Linked DNA regions of Anolis sagrei. The protein of the gene in region 1 purifies or fractionates together with the protein of each later gene. This does not show direct contact. Links are inferred from orthologs where the notes say so. Each region holds a gene or a part of one and is shown on either strand. Other genes may lie near its edges. The genes, in order: BPTF and HMGXB4.

The links.
Region 2: the proteins of BPTF (region 1) and HMGXB4 fractionate together in Homo sapiens (co-fractionation; 3 studies listed by BioGRID, with this or other methods). This does not show direct contact. The link is inferred for Anolis sagrei from reciprocal best matches to the Homo sapiens genes BPTF and HMGXB4.

What each region holds. Positions count from the first base shown.
Region 1 is NC_090022.1:180,069,369-180,086,070, forward strand, and holds the start of BPTF (nucleosome-remodeling factor subunit BPTF), read right to left. Parts: upstream 6,152-16,702; 5' UTR 5,904-6,151; coding exon 5,180-5,903; intron 1-5,179. UniProt on the Homo sapiens protein: Regulatory subunit of the ATP-dependent NURF-1 and NURF-5 ISWI chromatin remodeling complexes, which form ordered nucleosome arrays on chromatin and facilitate access to DNA during DNA-templated processes such as DNA replication, transcription, and repair.
Region 2 is NC_090025.1:167,420,289-167,436,796, reverse strand, and holds the start of HMGXB4 (HMG domain-containing protein 4), read left to right. Parts: upstream 1-10,351; 5' UTR 10,352-10,439; intron 10,440-14,772; 5' UTR 14,773-14,864; coding exon 14,865-15,788; intron 15,789-16,288; coding exon 16,289-16,370; intron 16,371-16,508. UniProt on the Homo sapiens protein: Negatively regulates Wnt/beta-catenin signaling during development.

The DNA.
Region 1 (16,702 bases):
TCCACTATAAACACTACACATTGTTGCTAACAGATTTCTGTATATGTCTAGGTGGCATTCAGAAACCTTTTAATGCTGCCAAATTTTTCACAACCCTAACACTGATTCCATTTGGGTTCAGCACTCACAGTTTATGAAGCAGTGTTCTAAAGCATATATGTCTAGATAAGACAATTTTGGAAAGGTTCACTCTTGCCAACTTTTTAGTTAAACATACATGATGTCATGTAATAACATTTTCCCAAAAACCTATTTACGATGTAAAGCACATTCTGCAAACTATTCGAAGTCGAGCATATACTAGTTTTAGTATAACTTTTTTAAAAGCCGAATATGAGGTTTTACAATATCAGAGAAAATTAAAAAGAGCAATGCAACTAAATAAAAATGTTTTGTGTAACCAAATTGGTTGAAACTGAAATTACTGGATAAGTTATCCAATCGTAGTAAAAAGATATAACTTTGTCTTTAAAAAATAAAAAAATACAGATGGGTTTCATTATATTCAACTCATTGGTACTCGTTACTACTTACTGATTTTATTTCCATTCTAAATGCACCTGCTTTCATCTTTCCATTAACAAACCTACATATCGACAGTCTGGTATCTGCTAAAATATTTTTGTTCTATCGAAGTCAAAGGCATCCTGAACATGCTTCCTTCCTTTATTGCTGTTGGGCTTTTTTGTTTTGTTTTTGTTTTTACAAATTGGTGATACAGGCATCTTTCTTGCCAGGCAATGCTTACTTCCTGCTGACTTCCTCAGTCCCTCCCACCATCAAGCACTCCCCATGGTTTTTAAAGTTTTAATTTCTAAAACTTCTGCCACGTTTCTGGAGACACATCTGTGACAGAAGACCCTTTTTTGCACTGGTTGAGCATCCCTTAATCAGAATGCCAAAATACTCCAAATAGATGACATGGATGGCTAAGATCTATCATCTATCATTTCATGAACAAAATTATGTTTAAAATAATATGCCTAAAGTCACCTTCCATCTATATCAGTGGTTCCCAACCTGTGGTCCATGGACCACCAGTGGTCTGCAAGAAATCAAATACGGTCCACAGCTTCACCATTACTACAACGGTGCAACGAGAGTGACTGGTCTCATGAAACTCTCTTATAGTGCCGAGGCTTATTAAATATGGTTTTCTGTGGGTTAGCAGATGACGACTACTGGATAGCATATACGTATCAGAAACTAGAGCTGATGTAGTCTAGCCAATGCAATTTTCTGATTCAGCGGCCCAAATAACCAAATTGAATCTAAAATCAACCAAAAACTGATTCGTAACCCTTTTGATACTAATGTTGGAGAGTGGTCCCTGGTCAAAAAAAGGTTGGGAACCACTGATTTATATGAAGTAAAAGAAACACAAATTTGTGTACAGTCTTGGGTCCTATCTCCATTATATCTCTTCAGGCAAATGCAAATATTCCAAAATCTAGGAGAAAGGAATTCCCAAACACTTCTGGCCCCAAGCTTTTTGGGTAATGAGGGAGACTCCACCATGCTTAATATTTACCCTTTTGCAGAGGATGCACATCTGCCCCAGAACCGCCTGCTTTGCAAACCCATTAAAACCCCCTCCAACCTGGCATGCAAAGTGACCCTCCGGCCACCCTGGAGAGATCATTATTATTACTACTTATAGGACATTTTTCCTCTTAAGACTCAAAGTAGCAGACAGCACTAAAACAACACAACATACACATCAAAACCTACAGACGTGAAATAGTATGAAACTCGAGAACCACTTTAAAATAGTTTAAAAACACAGAGACAACACAGAAAAGCCACCGAAATCCACAAGCATGTGAACAATTCCAACAGAAAGGAGGAAACAATGAAAATGAACAAAATCTGGCTACCAGTGTTAAAAAAATATATAAAATCAGGACTGTAAATAAAGAACAAAACTCAGAAGACAGGAGAATTCCTGACATTAAATAATGAGGGCCAGTTAACACCTCCCAACAAAGGATTCCCCTGGGCAGAAAGCAGCCAGGCTTTGAAACTACAAGGCTATTCAGTGCTAATCAAACTGACCAATTGCAACATTCCCATCTGCCTCAACCAAACAAGGGTTTTCTCCCACCCTGGACATTGCAGAGATTTATAAACCCCACTTGCCTAGTTTCCAACAAACCTCACAACCTCTGAGGATGCCTGTCATAGATGTGGGCAAAACATCAGGAGAGAATGCTTCTCGAATATGGCCATACAGCCCGGAAAACTCACAGCAACCCAGTTTAAAATCATTAAAACCTTTTAAATTGGTATATGCAATACATATAACATATTCTCCTTACCCTCAAAAAATAAAAACACACAGGAGTGGTGTACTGCCTCATAAGTGAGGTGGTAACCTTTTAAGCAAACACTGGATGGTTCTCTGTGGGGAATGCTTTGATTGTGCAGGACTCCCGCATGGCTGAATAGGGTTTGGACTGGATGGCCCTCAGGGAGCCCTCCCAGAAGGAACTCCCTGATAAGTGGTTTATTTATTTACTTACTTACTTCATTTGTATACTGCTTTTCTCACCCCAGGGGGACTCAAAGTGGTTTCCAACATATTCAAGGCAAAATTGAATACCTCATTGCATACATATGAAAAAGCAACAATAACAACGTTTCGCTACCAATTAAATCAACCTGTTCTCTACCAGTGGGTCCCCGGGTGTTTCGGCCTACAACTCCCAGATATCCCAGCTAGTTTACCTGCTGTTAGGATTTCTGGGAGTTGAAGGCCAAAACATCGGGGGACCCACAGGTTGAGAACCACTGCCAGAGTGTGGTGGAGGCGCCTCCTTTGGAGGCATTTAAATAGACTTAAGCAGAGACTGGATAGCTCTCTGTGGGGAATGCTTTGATTGTGCTGGACTCCCGCATGGCTGAATAGGGTTTGGACTGGATGGCCCTCAGGGAGCCCTCCCAGAAGGAACTCCTTCCCTCTGAGCAGTGGTTTATTTATTTATTTACTTACTTACTTCATTTGTATACTGCTTTTCTCACCCCAGGGGGACTCAAAGTGGTTTCCAACATATTCAAGGCAAAATTGAATACCTCATTGCATACATATGAAAAAGCAACAATAACAACGTTTCGCTACCAATTAAATCAACCTGTTCTCTACCAGTGGGTCCCCGGGTGTTTCGGCCTACAACTCCCAGATATCCCAGCTAGTTTACCTGCTGTTAGGATTTCTGGGAGTTGAAGGCCAAAACATCGGGGGACCCACAGGTTGAGAACCACTGCCAGAGTGTGGTGGAGGCGCCTCCTTTGGAGGCATTTAAATAGACTTAAGCAGAGACTGGATAGCTCTCTGTGGGGAATGCTTTGATTGTGCTGGACTCCCGCATGGCTGAATAGGGTTTGGACTGGATGGCCCTCAGGGAGCCCTCCCAGAAGGAACTCCTTCCCTCTGAGCAGTGGTTTATTTATTTATTTACTTACTTCATTTGTATACTGCTTTTCTCACCCCAGGGGGACTCAAAGTGGTTTCCAACATATTCATGGCAAAATTTAATACCTCATCGCATACATACGAAAACCCAACAGAAAACAACAATATTGCACTATCAATTAAATCAGGGGTCCTCAAACTTTTTAAACAGAGGGCCAGGTCATAGTCCCTCAAACTGATGGAGGGCCAGGTCATAATTTGAAAAAATAAATAAACATGAATTAATTCCTATGCACACTGATATCTTATTTGTAGTGCAAAACACTTTAAAACAATACAATAATTAAAATGAAGAACAATTTTAACAAATATAAATTTATTGGTATTTCAATGGGAAGTGTGAGCCTGCTTTTGGCTGATGAGATGGAATTGTTGTTATCCTGTGCTTTCAAGTCATTTTAGACTTAGGTTGACCCTGAGCGAGGGCCAGGTAAATGAGCTTGGAGGGCTGTATCTGGCCCCCGGGTCTTAGTCCCCCCTCGGGGGTTGAGAAGGGCAGGGTAGAAATGTGCAAAATAAATAATAGTTTGAGGACCCCTGAATTAAATCAACCTGCTCTCAACCTGTGAGTCCCCGGGTATTTTGGCCTACAACTCCCAGGTATCCCATCCAGTTTACCTGCTGTTAGGATTTCTGGGAGTTGAAGGCCAAAACATCTGGGGACCCACAGGTTGAGAACCACTGGCAGTGTGGTGGAGGCGCCTCCTTTGGAGGCATTTAAATAGAGCAGATTCTCAACCTGTGGCTCCCCAGATGTTTTGGCCTTCAACTCCCAGAAATCCTAACAACTGGCAAACTGACTGGAATTTATGTATATGTCTGTATACCTTGTATGTCAAAATTGGCATTGAATGCTTGCCATATATGTATGTGTTCATTGTAATCCGCCCTGAGTCCCCTGCGGGGTGAGAAGGGCGGAATATAAATGCTGTAAATAAAATAAATTTCTGGGAGTTGTAGGCCAAAACACCTAGGGACCTATAGGTTGGGAAACACTGAAATAGAGGCTGGATGGCCATCTGCCGGGGGTGTTTTGATTGTGCATGGAGCTGGACTAGATGGCCCATGTGGTCTCTCTCTCTCTTCCAACTCTATGATTCTACCTGGGGTGCTGGAATTTATGTATATGTCTTTATATGTCTGTTTATGTGTATGTCTGTATACGTCGTATGCCAAAATTGGCATTGAATGTTTGCTATATATGAGTCTCTGAGTCCCCTGTGGGGGGGGGGGGGTTATCGTGTCAGGAGCGACTTGAGAAACTGCAAGTCGCTTCTGGTGTGAGAGAATTGACCATCTGCAAGGACCTTGCCCAGGGGACGCCGGGATGATTTTATGTTTTTATCATCCTTTTGGGAGGCTTCTCTCATGTCCCCGCTTGGGGAGCTGGAGCTGGCAGAGGGAGCTCATCCAACTCTCCCCGGATTTGAACCTGTGACCTGTTGGTCTTCAGTCCTGCCGGCACAGGGGTTTAACCCACTGCGCCACCAGGGGCTCCATCCCTGTGGGGTGAGAAGGGCGGAATATAAATGCTGTAAATAAAATAAATTTCTGGGAGTTGTAGGCCAAAACACCTAGGGAACTATAGTTTGGGAAACACTGAAATAGAGGCTGGATGGCCATCTGCCAGGGGTGTTTTGATTGTGCATGGAGCTGGACTAGATGGCCCATGTGGTCTCTCTCTCTCTTCCAACTCTATGATTATACCTGGGGTGCTGCTGTAGGTGCTGTGGCTCCTGAAGCTGCTTTCGGTGCAGTAGCTGCCATCGTCGTCGTCCTCCTCCTCCATCTCCTCGGGGCAGTCCGAAGGGATGCCTCCTGCACCGACGCCGCCGTCCTCCTCCTCGTTTTCCACCACCACCACCTCCTCGTCCTCCTCCTCGCCCTCCATGGCCTCCTCTTCATCCGAGCCGGGCTTCCCCTCGGAGTCGGCTCCCTCTTCCTCCTCCTCTTCCTCCTCGGATAACGCGCTCTCCTCTTCTTCTTCCTCGTCGTCCTCCTCCTCGCTCTCATGGTCGTCGTACACGACTTTGCTGCTCCTCCGGGAAGAGGAGGCCCTGCCCTGACTACTGCTGTGGCGGCTCTTGCCTCCGCCTCCTCCTCCTCCTGCGGCCGCCCTGCCCCTTCCCCGGCCACTACTGCCTCCCCCGCCAGGGGTGCTGCTCCCTCCGCCGCCTTTCCTCCGGCCGCCCCCTCGGGTGGGAGGAGAGCCCCCCGCTGATGCTGCTGCCGCCGCCGCCCCTCTCGGCCTGGGCCCGGCCGCCTTGCCCGCCTGGGCCTTGGCCGCCCACCTGCCCCGGCTGCTGCCCCGCAGGCGCGACCTCAGCCCCCCGGTGGGCCCCGTGGGGGAAGCCGCAGCGGCAGCCGAGGCCCCGCTTCTGGAAGCCGCCGGCTGCGGGTGCTTAGGCGGCCTGCCTCGCCGTCCCCGCATCGCTGGGCGCTGGCTGGCAGGCTGAGGGAGACTGCGAGGCCGCTCGGGAGGCCGCTGGAGAAGGGCGGCGGGCGCTCCGGGAGCGCCTCCTCCCCGCGCTGGGGGACGAGACCCGGAGGCCCGGCAGGGAGCTCGGAGGCCCGGCCCGGGGAAGGGCTCAGTCTCTAGCGCCGGCGCCCCGCTCCGGACCGCCGCCGGCCGCCATCTTGTTTCTTCTTCTTCGCCTCAGACTCGGGGAAGCGGCGGCAGGCCTTGGGAGGGTCACGTGGGCAGGGCTGCGCGCGCAAGGGGGGCCCGCCAGGGGGCGCGCGAGGGCTGCGCGAGGCGGCGGCGGCGGCCCAGCAGAAGGCCTTCGAACTGCTTGAGGAGCCTCGGCAGGGCTCTCCTCTCCCAGCGCCCTTCCACACAGCCACAGAACCCAGGATATCAAGGCGGATCATCCACAATATCTGCTTGGAAATGGGTTATGTGGCAGTGTGGACTCAGATAACCCAGTTCAAAGCAGATACTGATATTCTAGGTTATATAGCTCTTCCACACAGCCACAGAACCCAGGAGATGAAGGCAGATCATCCACAATATCTGCAATGGAACTGGGTTATATGGCAGTGTGGACTCAGATAACCCAGTTCAAAGCAGATACTGATATTCTAGGTTACATAGCTCTTCCACACAGCCACAGAACCCAGGAGATCAAGGCAGATCATCCACAATATCTGCTTGGAAATGGGTTATGTGGCAGTGTGGACTCAGATAACCCAGTTCAAAGCAGATACTGATATTCTAGGTTATATGGTCCTTCCACACAGCCACAGAACCCAGGATATCAAGGCAGATCATCCACAATATCTGCATGGAACTGGGTTATATGGCATTGTGGACTTAGATAACCCAGTTCAAAGCAGATACTGATATTCTGGGTTATATGGATGTGTGGAAGGGCCCTCTGCACCCTTCCACACAGCCACAGAACCCAGGAGATCAAGGCAGATGATCCACAATATCACCTTGTACAGGATTATCTGAGGCCTCTTCCACACAGCTGAATAAAACCCCATATTTTCCGCTTTGAACTGGGATATCAATATAAATAAAAATGTAAAGTTCGTTTGTGGGATTAACATAACTAAAAAACCACTGGACGAATTGACACAAAATTTGGACACAATACACCTAACAGTCCAACAAGTGACCATCACCCCTAAATAAACACACACAAGCACACACAACCCCAGCTAAACAGACTTAAAAACCCCAAAAATACACAATATATACATATACACATATACTCATATACACATGCACACATTCAAACACACATATATATGCACAAACACACATATATACACACATACACACAGAAATACACAAATGTATACACCCATATATATATATATATATATATATATGCACACACACATATATACACAAATATATACAAACACATAAACACATATATACACACACAAAACATATACACAGACTGGGCCACAGCAATGTGTGGCAGGGGACGGCCACGCATTGCTGTGGTCTGTCTTACTTACTCAATGCCAGAGATACAGCTTAATAGTGTAACATTAGAAAATGTTGACCATTTCCGCTACCTTGGCACCACCAAAGTCACTGCCTGAGCTTTGCAAGTGCAGCATTTTTCCAAATGAAGCAGAGTGTTTGAGGACCGGGACATCCGTAAGGATACCAAGGTGCTTATTTATAAAGCTGTTGTCCCTCCAACCCTGCTATATGCTTGCGAAACGTGGACTGTCTACAGACGTCACATGCAACTCCTGGAATGACTCCATCAGCGCTGTCTCTGGGAAATACTGCAAATCTCTTGGGAAGAATCAGAGACCACCAGCATTGAAGCAATGGTCCTCTACCATCAACTCTGCTGGACCGGCCACGTTATCTGGATGCCCGACCACTGTTTCCCAAAGCAGTTGCTCTATTCCGAACTCAAAACAGAAAACGGAATGTTGGAGGACAGGAAAAGAGATTTAAAGATGGGCTCAAAGCCAACCTTAAAAACTCTGGCATAGACACTGAGAACTGGGAAGCCCTGGCCCTTGCGCGCTCCAGATGGAGGTCACCTGTGACCAGCAGTGCTGTAGAATTTGAAGAAGCATGAATGGAGAGCAAAAGAGAGAAAAGTGCCAAGAGGAAGGTGCCAACCCCGACCGAGACCACCTTCCACCTGGAAACCAATGCCCTCACTGTGGGAGAAGATGCAGATCAAGAATAGGGCTCCACAGTCACCTATGGATCCACCACATACTGCACACTGACCCTGGAGAACCATCATCCTCGGACAACGAGGGATCGCCTAACTGTAAACTCAATTGCCGAGTATACCTGCCCTGTTTGGCATAGGTCTGCCCATGCAAAGCAGGTGAACATAGCATTCAATTAAACAATACAATACAATATACACATATTTTAAAATTTTCTATCTTATTAATAGGGGAGCTTATTATTTATTTATTTATTTATTTAGAACTTTTCACCTCTGCAGAGGGACTCAGGCCGGTTCACAACAATAGTATCACAGACAATCATTTAAAAACATCACATCCCATAATACACTAAAACATTAAAATACTAAAATACAATCATATAATTACATAGGCCAAGTCTTCAAAATGAAATCGTAGTTCATCACCATCCGTCTGTGTAGTCACGGGTTATTAACTCACTCGTCAAATGCCAGTTTCCAGAGCCAGGTTTTCACCTGTTTTCTAAAGAGAAGGGGCAGTTCTGATCTCCAGTGGGAGAGAGTTCCAGAGCCGAGGGGCCACCACCGAGAAGGCCCTGTCCCTCGTCCCCACCAGGTGTGATTGCGAGGATGGTGGGACCAAGAGCAGAGCCCCTCCAGAAGATCTTAACAATCTTGATGGTTCATAGGGGAGAATCCATTCGGACAGGTAAACTGGGCCGGAGTCGTTTAGGGATTTATAGGTTAACACCAGCACTCCTGTTAGTAATCTGGCTGCTGCTCGTTGGACTAATTGGAGCTTCCGGGCAGTCTTCAGAGGCAACCCCACGTAGAGAACGTTGCAGTAGTCTAAACAGGATGTAACCAGAGCATGGACCACCGTGGTCAAGTCAGACTTCCCAAGGTATGGGTGCAGCTGGCGCACAAGTTTTAATTGTACAAAAGCTCCCCTGACCACCGCCGAGACCTGGGGCTCCAGGCTCAGCGAGGAGTCCAGGATCACTCCCAGACTGCGAACCTGCGCCTTCAGGGGGAGTGTAACCCCGTCAAGCACAGGCTGTAACCCTATGCCCTGTTCAGCCTTTTGACTGACCAGGAGTACCTCTGTCTTGTCTGGATTTAGTTTCAATCTGTTGGCCCTCATCTAGTCCGTTACAGTTCAGGACTTGAACAGCCACCTTACTAACAGCCTCCTTAGCTTAAAAATATATCAACCTATCCCCTTCCCCCTCAAAATGGATGGACGGATGGACGGACAGACAGACAGATAGACAGATGATTGTATGAAAAGCACTTAAGAATGTATTATCTTAACCATTTCTGCCTTATATTGTGTCATAACATAGAGGACATGAAAGAGCACAGCCTTCTCAGTGGTTGCTCTCCAGTTGTGGAACTTTCTACATCGGAAATCAGGTTGACTCCATCTGCTGGCAGGCAATGTCCATTCTTTATTTAAGAAGACATTTAGTTTTCAGTATATTGCAGCAGATAGAGCTTTTAATGAGAAGTCTCTGTGTGTTAGTACTATATTTTATTGTGTTTTGAACATTTTAGTGTTTTTCAGTTGTGTTTTTAAAAAAATTAAATTTACTTTATTTGTGTTTTAACTTGTGTATTAAGGATTTAAAATGTATTGTGTTGTTGTTCTGTACACTGCCTTGATTCCTATGTTGGGAGAAAGTCGGGATTTAAATTTAATAAGTAGCCGCAATGAGTACACTAAAGGGTACAGTCTTCACTGATAATATTTATTTATTTATTTATTTATTTCAGGTATTTTTACCCCGCCTTTCTCAACCCTCTAGGGGGGACTCAGGTCGTCTTCCAATCGGCACATATTCGATGCCTGCAATTAAACACAATAAAATACACAACAAACAGTAATTATAAATAATTAAAACATTGAGTTAATACAATAAAATCTACTAGAAAAGAAGCCAGCCTGGTGGCCATCACTTTGCAGCCTCCCAGAGAAGAGATTAACAATTCGGCAACCATTCTGCATCCAGGCACATTACTTCCATACAGTGCTAGCATCAGGTTTAGAGAGATCTTTAGAGTAAAAATTTCCGTGCTCTCTAACCTTGAAGAAGTAAGGTGTACACTTAGGCGACCCCTCATAGTCCGAGGGTGATGGTCCTCTAAGTGTAGTGTCCTGGCGGTGGGTCCATAGGCGACTGTGGAGCCCTGTTCTTGATTTGCATCTTCTCCCGCAGTGAGGGCATCGGTTTCCAGGTGGAAGGTGGTCTTGGTCGGGGCTGGCTTGGCGCGCCTTCCTCTTGGCATGTTTTTCTCTTTCGCCCTCCATTTGTGCAAATTCTGCAGCACTGCTGGTCACAGCTGACCTCCAACTCGAGCGCTCAAGGACCAGGGCTTCCCAGTTCTCAGTGTCTATGCCAGAGTTTTTAAGGTTTGCTTTGAGCCCGTCTTTAAATCTCTTTTCCTGCCCTCCAACATTCCATTTTCTGTTCTTGAGTTCGGAGTAGAGCAACTGTTTTGGGAGACGGTGATCGGGCATCCGGTCAACATGGCCAGTCCAGCGGAGTTGATGGCGGAGGACCATCGCTTCAATGCTGGTGGTCTTTGCTTCTTCCACCACGCTGACATTTGTCCGCTTGTATTCCCAAGATATTTGCAGGATTTTTCGGAGGCAGCGCCGATGGAATCAAACCAGGTACACAAACCAGGAATTGACTTCATTTGGGGTGTTTGCAAAGAATCACTACCCCACAGTTGTTCACAGTATGGTTGATCCCAATTATGTTTCCATGGCATGCTTGGGGTTTGCACATGTTCCAAGTCTAAATTGGACTTTCGGTTTTGGAAGCCAGTTTTAGTATCTATGTATCCAGGACAGAATTCAAAGGCATGGTCATTTTAGTCTGCAATATCCATATGCAAAGGGATCTGGTATCATTTCCATAGAGAGAGAAAAGCTTATAGTACTACCAAATTCTCTATACATTGCTATAAGACCCATTTGCAAATATAGCCACATGTTACTCATGAGTGCAGTGTTGCGACTGAGGGAAGTCATAGTCCCACTCTGTTCTGCTTTGGTCAGATCCCACCTAGAATAACACTGCATCCAGTTGTGGGCACCACAGTTTAAGAGGGACATTGACAAGCTGGAAGGTGTCCAGACTAAAATGGTCAAAGGTCTGGATACCAAGCCCTATGAGGAACAACTGAAAGAGCTGGGTATGTTTAGCCTGCAGAAGAGAAGGTTGAGAAGAGACATAATAGCCATGACGTCACATTGAGGAAGGGGCAAGCTTGTTTTCTGCTGCCCTGGAGACTAGGACACAATGGAGCAACGGATTCAAATTGCAGGACAAGAGATTTCACCTAAACATCAGGAGGAACTTTCTGATGGTAAGAGTTGGTAGGCATTAAATAATTTAGCCATCCAGTGCAATAACAAAACAAAAGGCTAGCTTGAACCCATCTCTTTTGCAAATTACATTTCACTTCATGGCAACCTATAGAGGTCTCCCAATCTCAGTCCTCAGAATTGTGCTTTGAAAGCCAAAGGAATACTAAAAGCTTGTCACAAAAGCTCTCTTAGTACAAAAGCTCTCCACAGACAGCTCTTACCACAAAAGGGAAAGACAAATACATAACAAAACAGTTGGGCCTACCTTTTAACAGAGAAGCACCCGAATTTGTCACCTATGATACATAGTACAAAGAAGTAGGTTCTCCCATTCAAATAGCGGAGGAGAAAATGCATTTGCCTCCTCTCACTCTCTGCATGATATTTGTGATATCCTTTTCTTTCTGTTCCGAACACAAGCACACAAATGGCTGTGATCAATGACTGGGCGATAGAAAATAGGGAAAGCAGACCATTTAAACTATGGTATCTTTTAACATTAATCATTTGGACATTAATCAGAAGACGCTTACTTCTTGGGAGGAGAGCAATGTCCAGTCTCGATAAAAGAGTAAAGAGTAGAGACATCAGACTGGCAACAAAGATCCGCCTAGTCAAAGCCATGGTATTCCCTGTAGTCACCTACGGATGTGAGAGCTGGACCTTAGGGAAGGCTGAGCGAAGGAAGATCGATGCTTTTGAGCTGTGGTGTTGGAGGAAAGTGCTGAGAGTGCCTTGGACTGCGAGAAGATCCAACCAGTCCATCCTCCAGGAAATAAAGCCCGACTGCTCACTGGAGGGAAAGATACTAGAGACAAAGTTGAAGTACTTTGGCCACATCATGAGGAGACAGGAAAGCCTAGAGAAGACAATGATGCTGGGGAAAGTGGAAGGCAAAAGGAAGAGGGGCCGACCAAGGGCAAGATGGATGGATGGCATCCTTGAAGTGACTGGACTGACCTTGAGGGAGCTGGGGGTGGTAACGGCCGACAGGGAGCTCTGGCGTAGGCTGGTCCATGAGGTCACGAAGAGTCGGAGACGACTGAACGAATGAACAACAACAACATTTGGAGGTGGTGGAAATAATGTTTCCACTTTGGCAACTTTGATTGGCAAGGTTTCCCTTTTCTAACATATAACCATTTGACTCACATATACAACATATAACACATGGTTTATTCTGCTAATACTTTTGTTATGGGATTTCAGCTTCTGTAAGGACCACAGGTTCGGAGCCCAATGTATCAAGCCTTCAGGAAGCCAGATGAGGCACAGATGAGATGAAGCAAAAACAGAGGCTTTATTCTCAATGGCAAAAGAGGATGTCAGTGGAGACGGTGCTCCAAATAATAGACATACTGCAATTGCGAACATTTATTTTTAAAATATTTATTTCTAGCATTTTGATTTTAAAGATTTATTTCTAACATTCAAGACTACTGCACTGGCTTCTGATTGGCCGGACATGTGGCCAGCTAAGATCTACTCCCCTGGTTGGTCTTTGTTTTAATAATTTTATTCATGGTTTTTCATTGACAATAAAAACAGCTTTGAAAAGGGAGGGGAGTGCGTTAGGGTACGGGAAAAAGGAAGGGGGTGAGGGAAGACAGGGGTAGGGAAGACACTTGGGGGGGGGGGTGTTCTTCCGTCTCTCACCATATAAGCATTTACAGTAAACATTTCTCTACTCTTCATTTCCTTGGCAGTGAGTCTGTATAAATGAGATTTATTCTTGTTGTTGTTTCTGTTCTATTAATAGAAGTACTTTATTTTCTTTCATCCAAATATTTAAGGGTGTCCAATCCGTCTTCTTCATATGTTTATTGTGGGCCTCTGTCAGTAAATATGTCAGTTTATCCATAATTTCCATTATCCATTCTTCTATCTGTGGCCTAGTTTCTTGTTTCCACGACTTAGCGTAGACTATTCTCACTGCTGTAATCATATAGGAAAAGAGCCTGTCTTCATTGATACTCCACTGTATATCTATCATCTCTAGAAGAAAACTTTCAGGTTTGAATAGGATTTTCTTTTTTAGTACTTTTTGGCAAATTTCTGAGATTTCCATCCAATAAGATCTAGCCACTTCACAGGTCCACCACATATGGGTGAAGGACCCTCTACACTTCCCACATTTCCAGCACCTATCATTCACATTTTTATTGAATTTCGCTATTTTATGTGGAGTCATATACCATCAGTAAAGCATTTTAATCCAATTCTCTTTAAGAGCGTACGCATAGGTATAGTTCATTCTCCTATTCCACATTATTTCTCAGTCCTCTAGCGGTATTGTTCTTCCTATGTCCTTTGCCCATTTGATCATGCAGTTTTTAATCAGATCTTTTTCAGTGCTCCACTCCAATAATTGTTTATAATTTTTTGTGATTTTTTTTTTACTTTCAAAGATCTTTAGCCATGTTGGTTGGTCTTAACTGTGGTGGAAAACTTTTATAAACTGTCATTGGGTTATTTTGAAGATTTGTGTCAATTTATTGATACATCCAGTATAGGGGCATGATTGAAGGGGATGCAGTTGGTCTTGATATCCCAGCTCTGGTTAAAACAATGTGTGCCAGTTGGGTAAACAAAAGGTGCTCAAGGTGTTGGCAATCTCAATGGGAACCCCCGAAGGGGATCTAATTTGGTGACTGAGATGAGGAAGTGTTCCTAGGATTAAACCTGATCATATCAGGAAAAACAGGAAAAGACCCAGAGGCTCTTGCGTAAGCTGGTTGTGTGTTCCATATCACTTCCTGGGATATTGTGAAGGGATTGTATTAACAAAGGTGTTACCCTTCCCTGAAGTCTGAGGTATGTATGGTCTCTTTGTAGCATTCCAGGGGAGGTAAATAAAAATAAAACTGAAACTGGGAATGAAGTCCACATGGCTTCACTAATTCATCGTTGTGGGGTTCATTATTTTGGGGTTCAGTTTTCAACAATTTTGTTGCTGTTGTTTTCTGGCTTCCTGTCCAACATGTGTAGCTTTGTAAAAGTCAGTAAATATTAGATTCTGTGGCACTGTGAGCAATAATTGTGGCTTGGTTGTTGCCTTGTACCACAACGGCAGCCATATGAAAAACATGATTAGCTGTGTTTCAGAGAACAAGCCTTTGACGTGAGACAGGATACTTTGATGTTTTTCTCCTTTTCGGTATTGGTGTATTGAAGGTGATTTCATCCAGGCAATGAATGTAGAAGGGGGATGCATCTTTAGTTCTTTTGCCAGCATCTATTATGTAGATGGGTGTAGACAACTGTGGAAGGCCAGGTAGCTCCATTAGGCCCCCAGGAGACCTTGGAGGGCGGCATCTATTACTGCAAAAGAAATGTCCACTTCCTCTCTACAAAGCTGCTAGGGGTTATGGAGAGAATTTCACCATGTTTGTGGACTTTAAAAACATCCTCTCCAGGACTTAAATTAACCCACAGGCCCCACAAAATGTGATGAAAATACAGCCTATGCTCTCTGGTGCAAAGTGGGTTGTGGCCCCTAATTGAATCTGGTTGTCACCAAAATTTTGTATAATGAATGTTTTAGATATTTATATGAATCCAGGAGAAAAGCAAGAGTCGCCAGAGTACATTTTGCCACTTGAGATGACAACCAAATGCCAAATATTCTGCCACTTGCGGTGACAAATCATGGCATGAAAAATGTTGATGATACGGTGTCCTGTAGTATCAAATATTCCACCAAGATTTTTTAAATTTAAAAATAAACAAGCACACCCATCTCATTAGTATTCCAATTAGTTTTCAACTTTAGTACAGGTAGTCCTCAAGTTATGAACAGGATAGGTTCTATAGGTTTGTTCTTAAGTTGAATGTGCATGTAAGTTGGAACAGGTACACTTTTAAGTGTAACTCCTGCCAAAATAGATATTTAGTAGGCATGTGCAATCCATGGTTCTAAATGGTTCTAAAGTACTTACAAAACTAAAGTTCTGGTGGTGAAAACTAGGGGGTGCTGGTGCTTTGCTTCTACAGTGTTGCTAAAGTTCTGTTGGTGAAAATTTCAGAACACTAACAAAAGCTTCAAAATTTCATTATAAATGGCAGTTCCTAATTGGTTCTGTCATAAAATAATCAATAATGAAATAATAATGAAATTTTGAAAGTTTTGTTAGAGTTCTGAAATTTTCACCACCAGAATTTTAGCAACACTGTAGAAGCAAAGCACCAACGCCCTCTAGTTTTCACCACCAGAACTTTAGTTTTGTAAGTACTTTAGAACCATTTAGAACCATGGATTGCACGTGCCAAATATTTAGTGTAAAAAGTTAACATCCCTATGGTGATTGTTTTGCTGTCTGTGCTCATTTGGAAGATTTCGCCTCATTTTTTGTCTTTGTGAGAATTGGATTTTGAAAAATGTGACCTGTAGTGGAAACAAGGATTGGTGATAAGAGCTTGAGTTGAGCTTGAGAGCATGATAACTCTTTCAGGAGTGAATTTCCCTTCCTAGTAGTAGATTTCTCTCACTTTCTGTTGCCTCAACCCCATTCTTAATGATGGGTTGTTTGTAAGTCAAATGTTTGTAACTCAGAGTAAAATTTATGTATAGCTAAAAATTGGTAAAATGGTAAAATTTATGTATAGCTATAGCAAAAATTGTTTTGAAGTACATTTATTTATTATTTAGATGTATATAGTGATATGATATCCCTATACACTCAGGGTCGAGTAAAAAATTCTCAGGTGAAAAATGTTAATGGGTTGCAAAAGTTTAAGAAGCCCTGCTCTAGTGAACATAAGGTAAAAATATTTTTGAAGTATATTGCAAAAATTGCTTTTGGACCAAGGGATCCAGAAGGGCTGGAAATTTTTAAAAAATTGTGACTGAGGGAGGGCCTGAAAATAGTCCATAGGGTGCATTCAGCCCAAACCTTGCCTGCCCCTGGTATAAGGTTATAACAATATATTTTAAATTGTTCTTCAGTGCAGATCAGGGCTGGGAATCTACATTCCTCCAGATATTATTGGGCTGCACCTTCCAGTAGTTGCCTTGAGTTCCTATAGCAGGAGAAAGGTGGGATAATATATAATGTGAAATACAAAAAGTCTGTGACAAAGAATGCAGAAAGTTGCAGTTCAGCAACATCTGGAGGACCTCACCATTCCCAGCTCTGGTGCAGAGCATTCCTCACGGTTTTTTCAGCATCATGATTCAATGTAATGGGTTGGGTTTAAGATTTTTTTATT
Region 2 (16,508 bases), on another chromosome or scaffold:
AGCTGGAGGTCAGCTGTGACCAGCAGTGCTGCAGAATTTGAAGAGGCATGAATGGAGGGTGAAAGGGAGAAATGTGCTAAGAGGAAGGCACGTCAAGCTAACCCCGACCAAGACCACATTCCACCTGGAAGCCAATGCCTTCACTGAGGAAGAAGATGTAGATCAAGAATAGGGCTCCACAGTCACCTACGGACCCACCGACAGGACACCAAACTTGGACGACCATCATCCTCGGACTATGAGGGGTCGCCTAAGTAAGTAAGTAATATGTTTATAATATCACCCTGAAATCTGATTTCAGAAACTTAGCAGAATCAAGATTGATTGGCATTAGGATTGAATATCCAGGCAGGACTAGGTAAGACTCCCACCTGAATCACAGGAGAATTGCTGTCAGAGGGTTGGATGGACCGATTGCCTGACTACACATGTGACCGTTTTTTCTGTGTGTGATTGTATATATACAGCTGCCAACTTGGGATAATTTAATGAATCTGATGGAGTGGGCTTTTCTCCGGGTCAAAAATGCCATAGAAAAACCATTTGTCATTCAGATTACAACAAGAACCTTTATTGGTTTTGCTGAGACTAACACAAATGACCATCTGAAAGTCATCGTGATTAATTTCTTTCAATGTCCAGCCATAATGATTTACACTCTGAATTACGGAAAGGTCGTGTATTTCCAAGAAACTAGCCAGAAGTGAAACAACTGAAATCCAGCAGTATAATTATGTTAAATTGCAGCTAACTAAAGACTGAGTTCTTGGCATACAAGTACACAAGAATCCTTTTTCTCTCAATATAATTGTTCCAATTTCCTAGTGTCTGAAAGCTAGTTAAAGGAAGCCATTGTGGTATATGGTAATGCAATGGAGAAATATATATACATTTGACTAAAAAGAAACCTTTCTTCAATAAAGCAGACTCGAACTTAATGCACACTTTCAAGCTAAAGGCAGACTTGGAAGGTTGCTTGTGCTTTGCTGTGATTATACGTTAGGCAAGAAAGAAAATGGGTACTGCCATTTCACGATTATAATAAGAACTGCTGAGTAAGAGATGCAGAAGAAAACTTGGCTAACAGCACCATCAAGGGGACACTTGAATAAATACAAAAAAAGTTTATGTTTATTTCTTGTTAAAAATAATCATGAACCAAGGAAGTCCCATCATTTAAAAATCTATATAAATAAAAATGTAATGTTCATTTGTGGGATTAACAGAACTCAAAAACCACTGGACGAATTGACACCAAATTTGGACACAAGACACCTAACAACCCAATATATGTCCTTCACTCAAAAAATTGATTTTGTCATTTGGGAGTTGTAGTTGCTGGGATGTATAGTTCGCCTACAATCAAAGAACATTCTGAACCCCACCAATGATGGAATTGAACCAAACTTGGCACATAGTTCTCCCATGACCAACAGAAAATACTGGAAGGGTTTGGTGGGCAGTGTCTTTTGGTTTTGGAGTTGTAGTTCACCTACATCCAGAGATCACTGTGGAGTCAAACAATGATGGATCTGGATCAAACTTGGCACGGATACTCAATATGCCCAAATGTGAACACTGGTGGAGTTTGGGGAAAAAAGAATCTTGACACTTGGGAGTTGTAGTTACAATCACAGAGCATTCTGAACCCCACCAACAATAGAATTGGGCCAAACCTCCCACACAGAACCCCCATGTGGGCCACAGCAATGCATGGCAGGGGACGGCTAGTGGCAAATAAATATGGTATATCCCAACAACTATCATACCGACAAAATACTCCAAAAAGATATGGACTGGTTACCACTGATAAAATATATGGAACAAGAAAAAATGAAGATACTAATATGAATATAAATGGAAGGTATCGACCCTTTGGAATACAGAAAAAGAGGAAGTAATAGAAATCGAGAAGCAAAATGGATAATATAGACTATAAATATCACAAAACAAAATATTGGAAACATAACACCCCCACCCTCGGATTCCCCCCCCCCCCACTCGATCCTACCCACCCCCAATCCCCTAGGCCCCATCTAACCCCACATACCTACTACCATCCTCAACTCTCTTTTTATTTTATTTTTTTTCTCTTTCCGAAAATCATCATATAGATTTTCAATACCTTCATGAGGCTTGCTGTCACTTACTCATAAGGCTTTCCTGTGATCTTCTGCATGCAAAGTATGCTCTCTATTCAAAATGTACTTTATTTTCTTTCCAACATCATATTCAGTACAGCAACATTTCATTCAGTGCAGCCACACAGCCTTTCTAAAAGCAAAGAACTAGACTGAACATTACTCAACTCAGGGATTTAATGCTCCTTCTTAGGGCCCTTCCACACAGTCATATAACCCATAATATCAAGGCAGATAGTCCACAATATCTGCTTTGAACTGGGTTATCTGAATCCACACTGCCATATAATCCTGTACAATGTGGATTTTATACAGATGTATGGAAGGGGCCTGAGTGTCTTCCAGCTTGATATTCAGAAACAAATACCCCTGTACCAACCACATCCATCTCTTTTTCAATTTTGATTTAAAAAATTAAATAAATTGTTTTACAAAGTGATTTTTAATGCATACTCTTGTTTAATTTTATAGTATTAGATTAGTTGTTTTGAATTTGTCATTGAATTTGCTCAGGCTAGCCTCTCCAACTGACTTGCTTATAACTTGCAAATATATATTGTGTATCCTGCACTCACTCCATTGTGATCACCTGTACTAAATCATCAAGCCCATCATAGATTATTTTGCATATTGCCACACCACATTCCTTTCAGTCATACCCCTCTCAGGAGCGGGCCATTAAACAGACTGATACTTCGAATTCACAAATGATGATTTATTGAATTTTCCACCAACAGCAAGACCCAATTGGAGAAACTGCTCCACAGAGTCCTCAACCAACTGAAGGACGGATCCTAGCCAGTGTGGGTTTCAACCAATCAGCTACTGGCGCAGGTGATCTGAATATCTGTCAAAATGAAATTAAAATGCTCTGTATTCTCTACTGTGGTATGCCAATCTTTGAGAGTGCAGATTACGCTGACATTCTTTCTGGTCAGGAAGAATAAATACCTCTGCTTTTGCCTTCTAACCCTTCCATGTCCTGATTTCACCTTCTGGAGTAGCTAGGTGCTCTGGGCTTCAAAACTCGAAATTTTGTAGTTAGCTGACATCACTTAACAATGTAGCACAAACACAATACATTTTTAAAACCTTTTAAAGGAACAAACAATAAACCAAACGTTGTGAAATGTAAATAATAGGTGTTGCTTTGTCTTATCTCAAGCAATGAGGCATGGAAAATAATGGAAAGGGGAATTCTGCTTTCCCTCTTTTCACGGTTTTCTCCTAGGACTTTCCGTTCCTATATTCACTCCCCAGTCTGAGTATAATTAATGTCTAATTTTCAATATGAATATAGCTAGATTTCATACAAACAACATCTTCCATTCATTTATCTATCTCTGGAATAAAAGCATGTCTGTTAATTTTTCATTTTTTATCACAACCATCAATGAGGGTTTTTGAGCATTGATAATGGCAGTTCTACTAGCCTTCAGAGTCTTTTCTCCATGATTTTTCAACCAGAAATAATACTAGAACAGAAAACATGAAGCAAACTAGAAAAAAACAAAAATAGGTTCAGTGACTGACATTTCTAATTTTCTTATTTATTTGTACTGGGAGGGGAAAAACACATTATTTTGACTGAATAAAATGGAAGGCACAATACATCAAAAGCATCCATAGTCTTCTAAAATTAATATAGAACTTTAGCGGACTGTGACATTAATTACACGGATGGAAAAAATACAACAGTACTATATTCAGTTATTTTGTTAGTAATGTAAGATTAGTAACCCAGGGGCTCCACAAATATCTTCCAAACCCTATACCTTTTTTTTAAAAAAACTTTTTCTTGAAAAGGAACAAACAATAAACTTAACTTGTGAAATGTAAGTAACAGGTGTTGCCTTATCTTATCTCAAGTAATAAGGCATGGAAAATAATTATGGAAGAGAGAAATCTGCTTTCCCTCTTTTCACCGCCTTCTCCTAAGACTATCTATTCCTATACTCCCCAGTCTGAGTATAATTAATGTCTAATTTTCAATATGAATATAGCTAGATTTCATACCAACAACATCTTCAATTCATTTATCCTTGTCTCTGAAATAAAAACATGTAAGTGGCAGTTAATTCTGCCAGTTTTACCAAAACCATCCATGAGGTTGTTTGAGCATTGATAATTGCAACTCTACTAGTCCTCACAATCTTTTCTTCATGTGTCTTCAACCAGAAATAATGCTGGAACAGAAAATTAATAACCGTAAAGCAAACTAAAAGAAAGAAAAAATAAGTTCAGTGATGGAACTTTCTGATTTTCTTATTTATTTGTTCTGGGAAGGAAAAAAAAACACATTATTTTGACTGAATAAAACAGGAGACACAATACATCAAAAGCATCCACAGCCTTCTAAAATTAATGTAGAACTTTAGCAGACTATGGCAATACCTACATTAATGGAAAAAGTACAAAAGAACTATATTCAGTTATAAGCTTATCACTAATATAGCATTAGCAACCCAGAAGCTCCACAAATCTCTTCCAGCTGCTCATTCCATAATAATATTAAATAATAAACTCTATTTGTATACCGCTGTATCTCCCCGAAGGGACTCAGGGCGGTTTCTAGCATAGGTAAAGCATTCAATTATCAACAGAAAATCATACAGAATAATCATTATAAAACATAAACATAATACTATTAGAATAGTCATACGTATTTAAAATTTAAAAGCCAGTTCCAGTACTAGTCAATCGGGCAAAATTCGACTACCAATGGTCAGAATTTCAGAGTGGGCCTAGACAACTATGAGAGAGCTGGCTAGTGCAACAAAGTAGCATAGGACCGGGGGAGTGGTTAAAGTGCAGAATAGGGTCTTAACTGATGGTCAGGGTAGGACCTGGGTCTACTCACTTCCAAGACCTGCTGAACAACTATAAGAGGGCTGGGCCAATGGGGAAATCCATAGTTGTGGGCGGTCAGTGAAAAGATCCTCTGGGCGATAGTCGCCAGTCAGGTTCCAGCTGGTTGGAGGAAGTGTCCACCAGACCAAAGTGTCCTAAAGGGCAAATAGTGCAGGGGATCCTGTAGGTAACTTGGTTCCAAACATGTAGGTCTTTAAAGATCAAAGCCAACACTTTGTGCCCAGATACTAATTGGTATGAGTGTAATATGCTCACTCCTAGATGTTCCTGTAACCAATCTAGCTGGCATGTCTTGAACTAACTGGCGTTTCCTAACTTGATGCAAACTACAGAGGTAACCCAATGTACAGTGAATTACAGAAGTCTATTATTATATAATTATGTTATATCTACAAAATAAGGAATAAATTCACACCTTTTGTGGATAAATATAACAATTTACTTTTATGTTTTGGGGTGTATTCATGTTTGTTTATTTATTAATTTATTTACCACATTTGTATATCGCCTTTCTCAGCCTGGAGGCGACTCAAGGCGGTTCACAGTCGGCAGAGATTCGATGCCTTAGCAACTATAAAAATACAGTTTAAAACAATTATAAAAACAATTAAAACGTTTAAAATGTGATATAAAAACAATACAACCTGTAAAAACAAAATAATTGGTGTCTCCTTACTACTCCTTGTCCAATTGCATCGTCAGTCATTCCATATTTTCATTTTCACCTAATTATGCTGCATTAGTTGAAAGCTTGCTCTAAGAGCCAGGTCTTAACCTTTTGCGGAATGTCAGAAGGGAGGGGAACGATCTTATATCCCTGGGGTGTTCCACAGCTGAGGGGCCACCACTGAGAAGGCCCTGTCTCTTGTCCCCGCCAAGCGCATCTGCAAAAAAGGCAGGATCGAGAGCAGGGCCTCCCCAGAAGATTTTAAGGTCCTAGATGTTCATAACTATTTTGTTTACTGCCCTCTGTGCAATATGGATTGGTGATGGAAATTTTTCTGTGCTGAACCCCTGCCATCATCTAAGGCCCCTTTGTAGAACCATTATAGTTATTGACTGTAATTGCTGTTTTAATGTTTTACTGTAATATGTATTATGATGTTTTATTGATTGTATGTGATATTATGGTTGGAAACCGGTCTAAGTCCCTCAAGAGAGGTGAGAAGGTCGGTATACAAAACTTTTAAATAAATAAATAATAGTAGGTGCTCTTCCTGACAGTTGTCACTCAGGCCCCTTCTACATTGCCAGATAATCCAGATTATCAAAGTGGATAATCCACATTATCTGATTTGATCTGGATTATATGAAACTACACTGCCAGATGATCCATTTCAAAGCAGATAACCTGGATTGTATATATTAGTGTAGAAGGGGCCTCAGGCCCTGTCTACACTGCCATATAATCCAGTGTGAACTGCATTATAATGGTCAGTGTACTCAATGTATTAGAATCTGTATTTTAATTGTATTGTGTTTTTAATCTGTGTTCCAACTATGTTGCACCCTGCCTCAAACTGTGAGGAAAGGCAAGTAACATGCTATTATTGTTATTGTATTACTAGTTTGGGTATGCAGTGATGCCCAGTGTTATTTGAAAAAGACATGGCTTGTTTTTGAATGTTAGATAGTGTTCGTTTGGTAATTTGTAACTCTATTTCTTTTTAGGAAGAAGTCAGTGTTTTCTTTTGTTTTTTAGGAATTCTCTCATTAAAAATGCATAATAATGTGAGTGAACTATAATTCCCAAAAATTGTGGGTCAATCACCCCAAACCCTGCCAGTATGCAAAGTTTGCCACATTGGGTCTGCGTGCCAAGTCTGGTCAAGATTCGTTGTCAGCAGGGTTCAGTGCTCTCCAACTTTAAATTATAACTCCCGGATTCCAGATCAATCACTTGCAAACCCCACACCACTATTCAAAGTGGGCCATACTGGATCTGTGTGTCAAGTTTGGTCCAGATCCATAGTCAGCTGGGTTCAGGGGGCTCTCTGGATACAAGGTACAACTCACTCCCAGGTGGGTCAGTCCTCCTCCCAACCCCTCCATTATGTTCTGATGGTCATCAGGGTTCTGTGTGCCAAGTTTGGCCCAGATCCATCAGAGTACTCTCTGGATGCAGTGTGAACTACAATTCCCACTCCAGTGGGTCAGTCCCTTAATCCCTCCAATATATTCAGTTAGCCATCGGGGTTCTATGTGCCAAGTATGGTCCGAATCTGCCATTGGTGGGCTTCAGAATGCTCTCTGGATGCAGAGTGAACTACAACTCCCGCTCTGGCAGGTCAGTCCCCCCACCCCCACCCCACACCTCCAGTATGTTCTGTTAGTCATGGGGGTTCTGTGTGCCAAGTTTGGTCTAGATCTGCCATTGGTGGGCTTCAGAGTGCTCTCTGGATAGAGGGTAAACTACAACTCCTATCCTGGTTGGGCGGTCCCCATAAACCCCTCCAGTACATTTGAACTGTGGTGTTGGAGGAAATTTTTGAGAGTGCCTTGGACCACGAGAAGATCCAACCAGTCCATCCTCCAGGAAATAAAGCCCAACTGCTCATTGAAGGGAAGGATAGTAGAGGCAAAGATGAAGTACTTTGGCCACATCATGAGAAGACAGGAAAGCTTAGAAAAGAAAATGATGCTGGGGAAAATGGAAGGAAAAAGGAAGAAGGGCCAACCAAGGAGAAGATGGATGGCATCCTTGAAGTGATTGGCTTTACTCTGAAGGAGCTGGGGGTGGTGACGGCCAACAGGGAGCTCTGGCGTGGAATGGTCCATGAGGTCATGAAGAGTCGGAAGCAACTGGACGAATAAACAATAACAACACGTTCCATTAATCATCAGGGTTCTGTGTGCCAAGTCTACTCCAGATCCATCATTGGTGGGGGTCGTAGGTTCGAATCCAGGGAGAGTGCGGATGAGCTCCCTCTGTCAGCTCCAGCTCCCCACGCGGGACATGAGAGAAGCCTCCCACAAGGATGGTAAAACTGCAAAACATCCCCTGGGCAACGTCCTTGCAAACAGTCAATTCTCTCACACCAGAAGCGACTTGCAGTTTCTCAAATCGCTGACACAAAAAAATGGTGGGGGTCACAGTGGTCTTTGGAAGTGGGAGCCAATAGGAAAGCTGCTGCAAACTTACATCTACTATTATTATATAGATACTAGCGGTCCCCTGCCACACGATGCTGTGGCCCAGTCTGGTGATCTGGAAAATAAAGTAATGAGAAAGTGTTGGTTTCTAATATATGTAATGTCTTTATGCTTGTGGGTAAACAGTATTTCTTGCTATTTCTTTGCCAGTGTTGATGTGGAGATTGTCTGGTTTGCCTACTCTGGGACATTCAACATATAATTGTCCTTCTTTAGGGGTCCCTTTCAAATCTATGTTACTGCATCTGTCATATACATGTGTGTGTGTGTGTGTGTGTGTGTGAATGGCTGGATGGCCTTTTGTCAAGAGAACTTTCATTATGTTTGTTGCCCTGATTAAGGGAGTTGGACTGGATGGCCTTAAGGCAGCATTTCTCAACCTGGGAAGTCAAGACCCCGGGGGGAGGAGGTCACCAGGGGGTATCAGAACAGTCACCGAAGACCACTAAAAACACACACAGTATTTTCTGTTGGTCATGGGGGTTCTGTGAGGGATGTTTGGCCCAATTCCATCATTGGTGTGGTTCAGAATGCTCTTTGATTGTAGGTGAACTATACATCCTAGTAACTACAACTCCCAAATGTCAAGGGCTATTTCCCCCAAACTCCATCTGTGTTCACATTTGGGCATATTGATTATTCCTGTCAAGTTTAGTCCAGATCCATCATTGAGTCCACAGTGTTCTCTGGATGGAGGTGAATTACAATTCCAAAATTCAAGGTCAATGCCCACCAAACCCTTTCAGTAATTTCTGATGGTCATGGGAGTCCTGTGTGCCAACTTTGATTCAATTCTATCGTTGGTGGAGTTCAGAATGCTCTTTGATTGTAGGTGAACTATAAATCCCAGCAACTACAACTCCCAAATGACAAAATTATATTTTTTTGTGATGGTGACTCCTTGTGTAGTGAGACATTTTGTTGCCAAATTTTGTGTGATTTCGTTCATTGGTTCTTTTGTTTTTAATGTACTCATTATGCACAGAGCATTTTTATATATATAGCAGTACGTGTGAAAAAGATCTTGGAGTCCTTATGGACAACAAGTTAAACATGAGTCAACAATAAGATGTGGTGGCAAAAAAAGCCAATGGGATTTTGGCCTGCATCAATAGGAGCATAGTGTCTAAATCTAGGGAAGTCATGCTACCCCTCTATTCCGCCTTGGTTAGACCACACCTGGAATATTGTGTCCAATTCTGGGCACCACAATTGAAGAGAGAGATTGACAAGATGGAATGTGTCCAGAGGAGAGCTACTAAAATGATAAAGGGTCTGGAGAACAAGCCCTATGAGGAACGGCTTAAGGAGCTGGGCATGTTTAGCCTGAAGAAGAGAAGGCTGAGAGGAGACATGATAGCCATGTATAAATATGTGAGAGGAAGCCACAGGGAGGAGGGAGCAAGCTTGTTTTCTGCTTCCCTGGAGACTAGGATGCGAAACAATGGCTTCAAACTACAAGAGATTCCATCTGAACATTAGGAAGAACTTCCTGACTGTGAGAGCCGTTCAGCAGTGGAACTCTCTGCCCCGGCGTGTGGTGGGGTTTCCTTCTTTGGAAGCTTTTAAACAGAGGCTGGATGGCCCTCTGTCAGGGGTGATCTGAATGCAATATTCCTGCTTCTTGGCAGGGGGTTGGACTGGATGGCCCATGAGGTCTCTTCCAACTCTTTGATTCTATGAAGATAAAGATTGAGATTAATGCATTTATTGTTATTATTATGTGCCTCTTCTCCGCCCATTTTACTGAGTGCTTCCCAATATTCCTGGCAGAATGGGATCTAGAAACACAACAGAGCGACCCAAAGCTGCCACCATCCTTCTCCACCCTCTTCCTGTTCGACTGAAAGAGTGAAAGGGAAATGGCAAGCTTTAGGCTTCATTTGAAATCTCGCGATAGGTTTGGAACCCTCTTTTCCGCCCTCTCGGCTCTCGCGAGATGTACCCTCCTCGTCTCGCGAGAGCAGCGGCCTGCTTCAGAGGAGTTTGGTGCGCTTTCCCCAGCGGATCTTGAGAGACCCCGTCGCGATGTTTTTGCGTCATCGTTTTCCACAGTTTGAAGTCTGAAGTCTCCCCGCTTTCTGGAAACACGCAAGTCTTCTTACTTGTGTTTAAAAAGCAGCTTTCTTTCCCTCCCGGGATACGAATCAAATAATGTTCTGCAGAGCAAACGTCTTGAGTAGCTGCTTGGCTTCCAGATATTGACAGGATGGAAGGTCATTCTTTGTTCTCAAGGGAAATGTTTCCTTTCTCAGCAGAGTTCGCTTTTAAACGGTAAGATTTCAGACTGTTAAGGTTCGTTGGTATTTTTATTATTATTTTAATGAATTAAATGCTATTTCACTTTTTTTTACTGTTTTAAATCGTTTTAAAAGAATGTTTTTGTCTCTTTTGCATTGGCTAGGGAGACCTAGAATTCTGACAGGTGATAAATTTTATCTATTTGTTTATTTATTTATTTATCAATTTTATATACCACCACTCCCCGAAGGCTCAGAGCGGTTTACAATATACATATGCAATACATTACATTTAAAATCAAAGAAAAATTTCAGTCAACAAGATTCAAATGCCAGCCTAAATAAATATGTTTTACAAGCTCTACAAAAAGATAGTAAGTCTCGTAGAGCTTGTGTTTCTGCTGGCAAGGCATTCCACAGGTAAGGAGCCACCACCGTGAATGCTCTACACCTAGTGGACATCAGGTGAAAGGTCCAAAAATTGGGAACTTCGAGGAAGTTCTGATCGTCTGAACGGAGTGATCTCGGGTGTTGGTAGGGGGTGAGGCGGTCCATCAGATATTCCGTCCCCAGGCCATATAAGGCCTTAAAAGTAAGAATCAGCACTTTGAAGGTAATCCGGTGCTCAATCGGCAACCAGTGCAGTTGCTGCAAGATTGTAGTGCAGAAGGTGTATTTTCGAAGGCTTTCATGGCTGGAATCACTGCATAGTTGTAGGTTTTTCAGGCTGTATGGCCATATTCTAGAGGCATTCTCTCCTGACGTTTCGCCTGCATCTACAGCAAGCACCCTCAGAGGTTGTGAGGTGCCATATAGCCCAAAAAACCTACAACAACCCAATTGTGGAAGGCTTTCATGGCTGGAATCACTGGGTTGTTGTAGGTTTTTCAGGCTGTATGGCCATATTCCAGAGGCATTCTCTCCTGATGTTTCGCCTGCATCTATGGCAAGCATCCTCAGAGGTTGTGAGGTGCCATATAGCCCGAAAAACCTACAACAACCCAATTGTGGAAGGCTTTAATGGCTGGAATCACTGGGTTGTTGTAGGTTTTTCGGGCTGTATGGCCATATTCTAGAGGCATTCTCTCCTGACATTTCACCTGCATCTATGGCAAGCATCTTCAGAGGTTGTGAGGTGCCATATAGCCCAAAAAACCTACAACAACCCAATTGTGGAAGGCTTTCATGGCTGGAAGCACTGGGTTGTTGTAGGTTTTTCAGGCTGTATGGCCATGTTCTAGAAGCATTCTCTCCTGACGTTTCACGTGCATCTATGACAAGCATCTCAAAGGTTGTGAGGTGCCATATAGTCCGAAAAACCTACAACAACCCAATTGTGGAAGGCTTTCATGGCCAGAATCACTGGATTGTTGTAGGTTTTTCTGGGCTGCAAGGCCATGTTCCAGAAGCATTCTCTCCTGACGTTTCGCTTGCATCTATGGCAATCATCTTCAGAGGTTGTGAGGTGCCATATAGCCCAAAAAACCTACAACAACCCAATTGTGGAAGGCTTTCATGGCCGGAATCACTGGGTTGTTGTGAGTTTTCCGGGCTGCAAGGCCATGTTCCAGAAGCATTCTCTCCTGACGTTTCGCCTGCATCTAAAGAACTAAAGACATGGATGTTCCACTGTACATTCAGCCATATAGTTCCCCCAAAAATTCTGGTTCCCAGTTTGATCCATAATTAGATTTTGCTCATTTCACTGTGCTCTTTTAGAGACATAGTGCTTTCCTTACATCCCCCCCCCCCCCCCCGGGTCCTAATCTTGTCATCTGCCATTAACACTTTAACCATCAACCCTGTCCTTTGGCAACTGATTTACACCAGCCACCACTGAAACTCGGATCCATGCACTACTCAAACCTTTGAAGGTTGTTAAATATTCGCTATGTATTGTATTCTGTGGTTGTTTTATATTGTTGAAATGTTTTATGAATTTTTTTGTTATAATTTATTTTAACTATTTGTAATCTTGGGCTTGTCCCCATGTAAGCCACCCCGAGTCTCCGCAGGGAGATGGAGGCAGAGTACAAAAATTAAGTTGTTATTATTATTATTATTATTATTATTATTATTTTAAACACAGCAAGATGAGTCCACAGCAGCCAAAATCACTCTGCTGGCTGTTATATTGTATCACACGTCGGACACTTCCCAAGTGTGTAGGACTGTGTGATGTATCGGTGAATAATGCGTGCAAATCCCAGTAAGGTGGCCTTTTGCAGCTGGCAGATGGTAATTTTGTCGGCACCGATTGTGCTTAAGTGCAGGCCAAAGTCTTTAGGCACTGCACCCAGTGTGCCGATAACTCTTTGACAACTTGGCCTTATGTAAGAACATGACTGCTTTTTAATGTATTTTTATGTATTATGTGATGTGATGTTTTTAAACTACTGTTCATGAATCTTGTTGTAAACCGGCCTGAGTCCCTCTCCGGAGGTGAGAAGACCGGTATATAAAAGTTCTAAATAAATAAATTCTAAACCACTGGGACCACCTTTACTGGCCTGTGCCAGAGTCTTTGCAGTTCAGTCTTTAAATCCTCATATCATGTCATTTCCAGTTGTTTCTCTTCAATCCTGCTGTCGCCTGGGATTGCAACATTGACGATCCATACTTTGTTTTTTAACACGATCGTGAGGTTAGGACTACTGTGCTCCAAAACTCTGTCAGTCTAAATTCGGAAGACCCAGAGTAGTTTGATATCTTCATTTTCTGTAACTTTTTCAGCTTGTGATCCCACCAGTACTTTGTCGCAGGCAGATGGTATTTGTGGCACAAGTTTCAATTATTCATTTGAGCAATCGTGTTATGCCTCTGCTTGTAGTCTGTCTGCGCAATCTTCTTGCAGCAGCTGAGGATGGGATCTATTGTTTCATCTGCTTCCTTGCAGAGTCTACATTTGGGATATGTCATCGACTTTTCAGTTCTGGTTTTGATGGCATTTGTTGTAATGGCTTGTTCTTGGGCTGCCAGAATCAGGCCCTCCGTCTCCTTTTTCAAAGTTCCATTTGTGAACCACATCCATGTTTTTTCTTTGTCAATTTGGCTCTCAGTTTTTCCCAGGAACTTTATTATTATTATATCTATGGCAGTCATCCTCAGAGGTTGCAAGGTCTGTTGGAAATTAGGAAAATTGAGTTTATATATTTGTGGAATGTCCAGGGTGGGAGAAAGAACTCTTGTCTGTTTGAGATAGGTGTGAATGTATCAATTGGCCACAGTAATTAGCATTTAATGGCCTAGCAGTTTCAAGGCCTAGCTTCTTATTGCCTTGGGGAATCCTTTGTTAGTAGGTGAAAAGCTGGCCCTGATTGTTTCTTGTCTGGAATTCCCCTGTTTTTGAGTATTGTTCTTTATTTACTGTTATGATTTTAGAGGTTTTTAATACCTGTAGGCAGATTTTGTTCATTTTCATTATTTCTTCCTTCCTGTTGAAAATGCTTGTAGACAAGAGTTCTTTCTCCCACTCTGGACATTCCATAGATATATAAAACTCACTTGCTGAGTTTCCAACAGACCTCTCAACCTCTGAGGATGCCTGCCATAGATGTGGGTGAAATGTCAGGAGAGAATGCTTCTGGATCATGGACTTATAGCCCGGAAAACTCACAACAACCCAATAAAGGAATTATTCTTAGTAAGAAAGGGGTAATTAATATTATTGAACACCTTGTTTATTTAATGTTTCATTATGTATATGTGAGGTGGGAAATGTGAAAAATGTCTTTTAAAGGGGGATAAGCTCTCAGTTAATGGGGGGCAGTATGTAAATGTGTTAAAATTGAGTAGCTTTTTGTAGCAGACACGTTTATTGGGTTGCTGTGAATTTTCCAGGCTGTATGGCCATGTTCCAGAAGCATTCTCTCCTGACAGGCATCATCAGTGGTTGAGGGGTCTGTTGGAAAGGCAAGTGAGGTTTATATATCAGTGGAATGTCTGGGGGGTGGGGGGGGGGAGAGAGAGAGAAAAAAACTCTTGTCTTTTGGGGGCAAGTCTGAATGTTGCAATTGGCAAAAAAATAATATGCTTCAGGATAAGACTTTATTTTATTTATTTTTATTGTTTTATTGTGTATATAGGAAATAAAACAGACAATAAAACGTAAAAGATATACAAAAGAATAAACAGGTTTGCAAAATGGTATGCAGCCAGTGCTCGTTAAATGTGTGAAAAATCAAAATTGGCTGTACAGTTATTATACCTTAACATATCTGTGTAGTACCTATTTAACCAAATCTCTAAAGCAAGCAATTTGGAAGCCTATCAGTTTCATGAGATATTTTAAGCTGTGTAGGAGGAAATATGTTTGATGTTAGGTAGGCATCCAGCCTTGTTTGATCCTTCCTTCTGGGTCCTTTCAGGTCTTTCCTTTTTTGAGCAATCCTTGCCTTTGGAGTCAACTTCTAAAAAGAGGAGAAAATCAATATTGAGTCCACCCTCTACTGACACTGCCATGGATCACCATAAGACCATCACCTCTCCGCTTGCCACTGGCTCCAAGTCCTCTAAAAGGCCATCGGAGAAATCTCATTCTTCATTTAGTACTTCTGGCCATTCAGAGAGCAAGAAGGAGCACCATAAGAAGAAGCTGAGTGGGAGCAGCAGTGACCTGTCTTTGGATGATAGCACTTCTCACAAGTCCAAGAAAATGAAGCCCCCCTTTGTGAATACTGAAATGTTGACCTTGCGTGAGCCTGATGGCTTAAAGATGAAGCTTATTCTTTCACCTAAAGAAAAGGGAGGAGGCATGATAGAGGAGTCCTTTCCCCATACTCCAACAATAAAAAAATCATCTAAAAAATCTAGTCGGGATGAACACAGTTCACTTCACTCAAGTCATGACTCTCATGGCTTCCTGAAATCATCTCGAAAGAAGCACAAGTCATCATCAGAAGCACATCTACCTCCAGCTCCCGAGAGCTTTAGCCCAGACACATCCCTTTTCTCAGAAGGACAAAGCACTGAGTTTGAGCTGCCAGGCCTGGAGCCACAATTGGAATCAGGTTCATCTTCTGGAGGAGAGCTGGAAGCTGGAGAGCTCATAATTGATGATTCATATCGGGAGATAAAGAAGAAAAAGAAATCCAAGAAGAGTAAAAAGAAAAAAGACAAGGAGAAGCACAAGGATAGGAAACACTCCAAATCTAAAAGGAGTTCAGGACTTTCGTCTTCATTGGTGGTAGCAGAAGTCACGGCCCCATTGCCAGTCTCACCAACAACCACACCATTTGCCATTCCTGCTCTTCCTTCTCCTCCCCTCCCACCACCGCCGCCGCCGCCGCTGCCGCCACCACCTGTTTTCCATACTGATGGTCAGAGTGAGAAGAAGAAGAGGAAGGAAGAAAAAGAGAGGGCTGAAAAACTGGAAAAGGAAAAGGTAAAATGCCATTGCAGAGTGAGTGGGTGAAAGCAATTATTGGTATGAGAGTGAAATTAGACCTGAACTGAGCAGCCACAGATACACAATCAGAATTCAGATTTTATAACAGATGTTTTATGCATGCAAAAGTTGATGCAGGTGCTGTTTTTTTATTATTAGTTATGAAAAAACCCACATGCACACACATACACCCCTAAATAATTTTCTTCCTACTGGCAGACAAAAAAAGTATTGCATGTCTTTGAGAAGTACTCAGTTTTTCCCCCAGAAATCAGTGTCAAAACAAATTTGTCACAACATTATCCTTCTATTTTATGCCAGTGTTTTTGTAAGTATTTAGCTAATGCATATCAGATGGCAGACATTTGAAAGAAACCTGCTTACTTGTGAAAGAGACACACATAAACCTTTTCTTTAGAAATTTCTACTGGCACCAGAAATGTGTTGATACAGATATACACTATAAAATATTCCCTCCCCCTCCCATTTTCTTTTAGCCAAAGAAGAAAAACATGTCTGCCTACCAAGTGTTCTGTAAGGAATATCGTGTGAACATTGTGGCTGAGCATCCAGGAATAGGTAAAATAGCAGGATATAAGGGGTCGATTTGTTTATTTGTATTTCTTGTATTTTTCATTTTTCTTCATCTGAACTCTTGGGATATTCCCCTAGGTGTAAAAGGCTCTCTCAAACCCACTGATTAATTGAAGTGCTGAG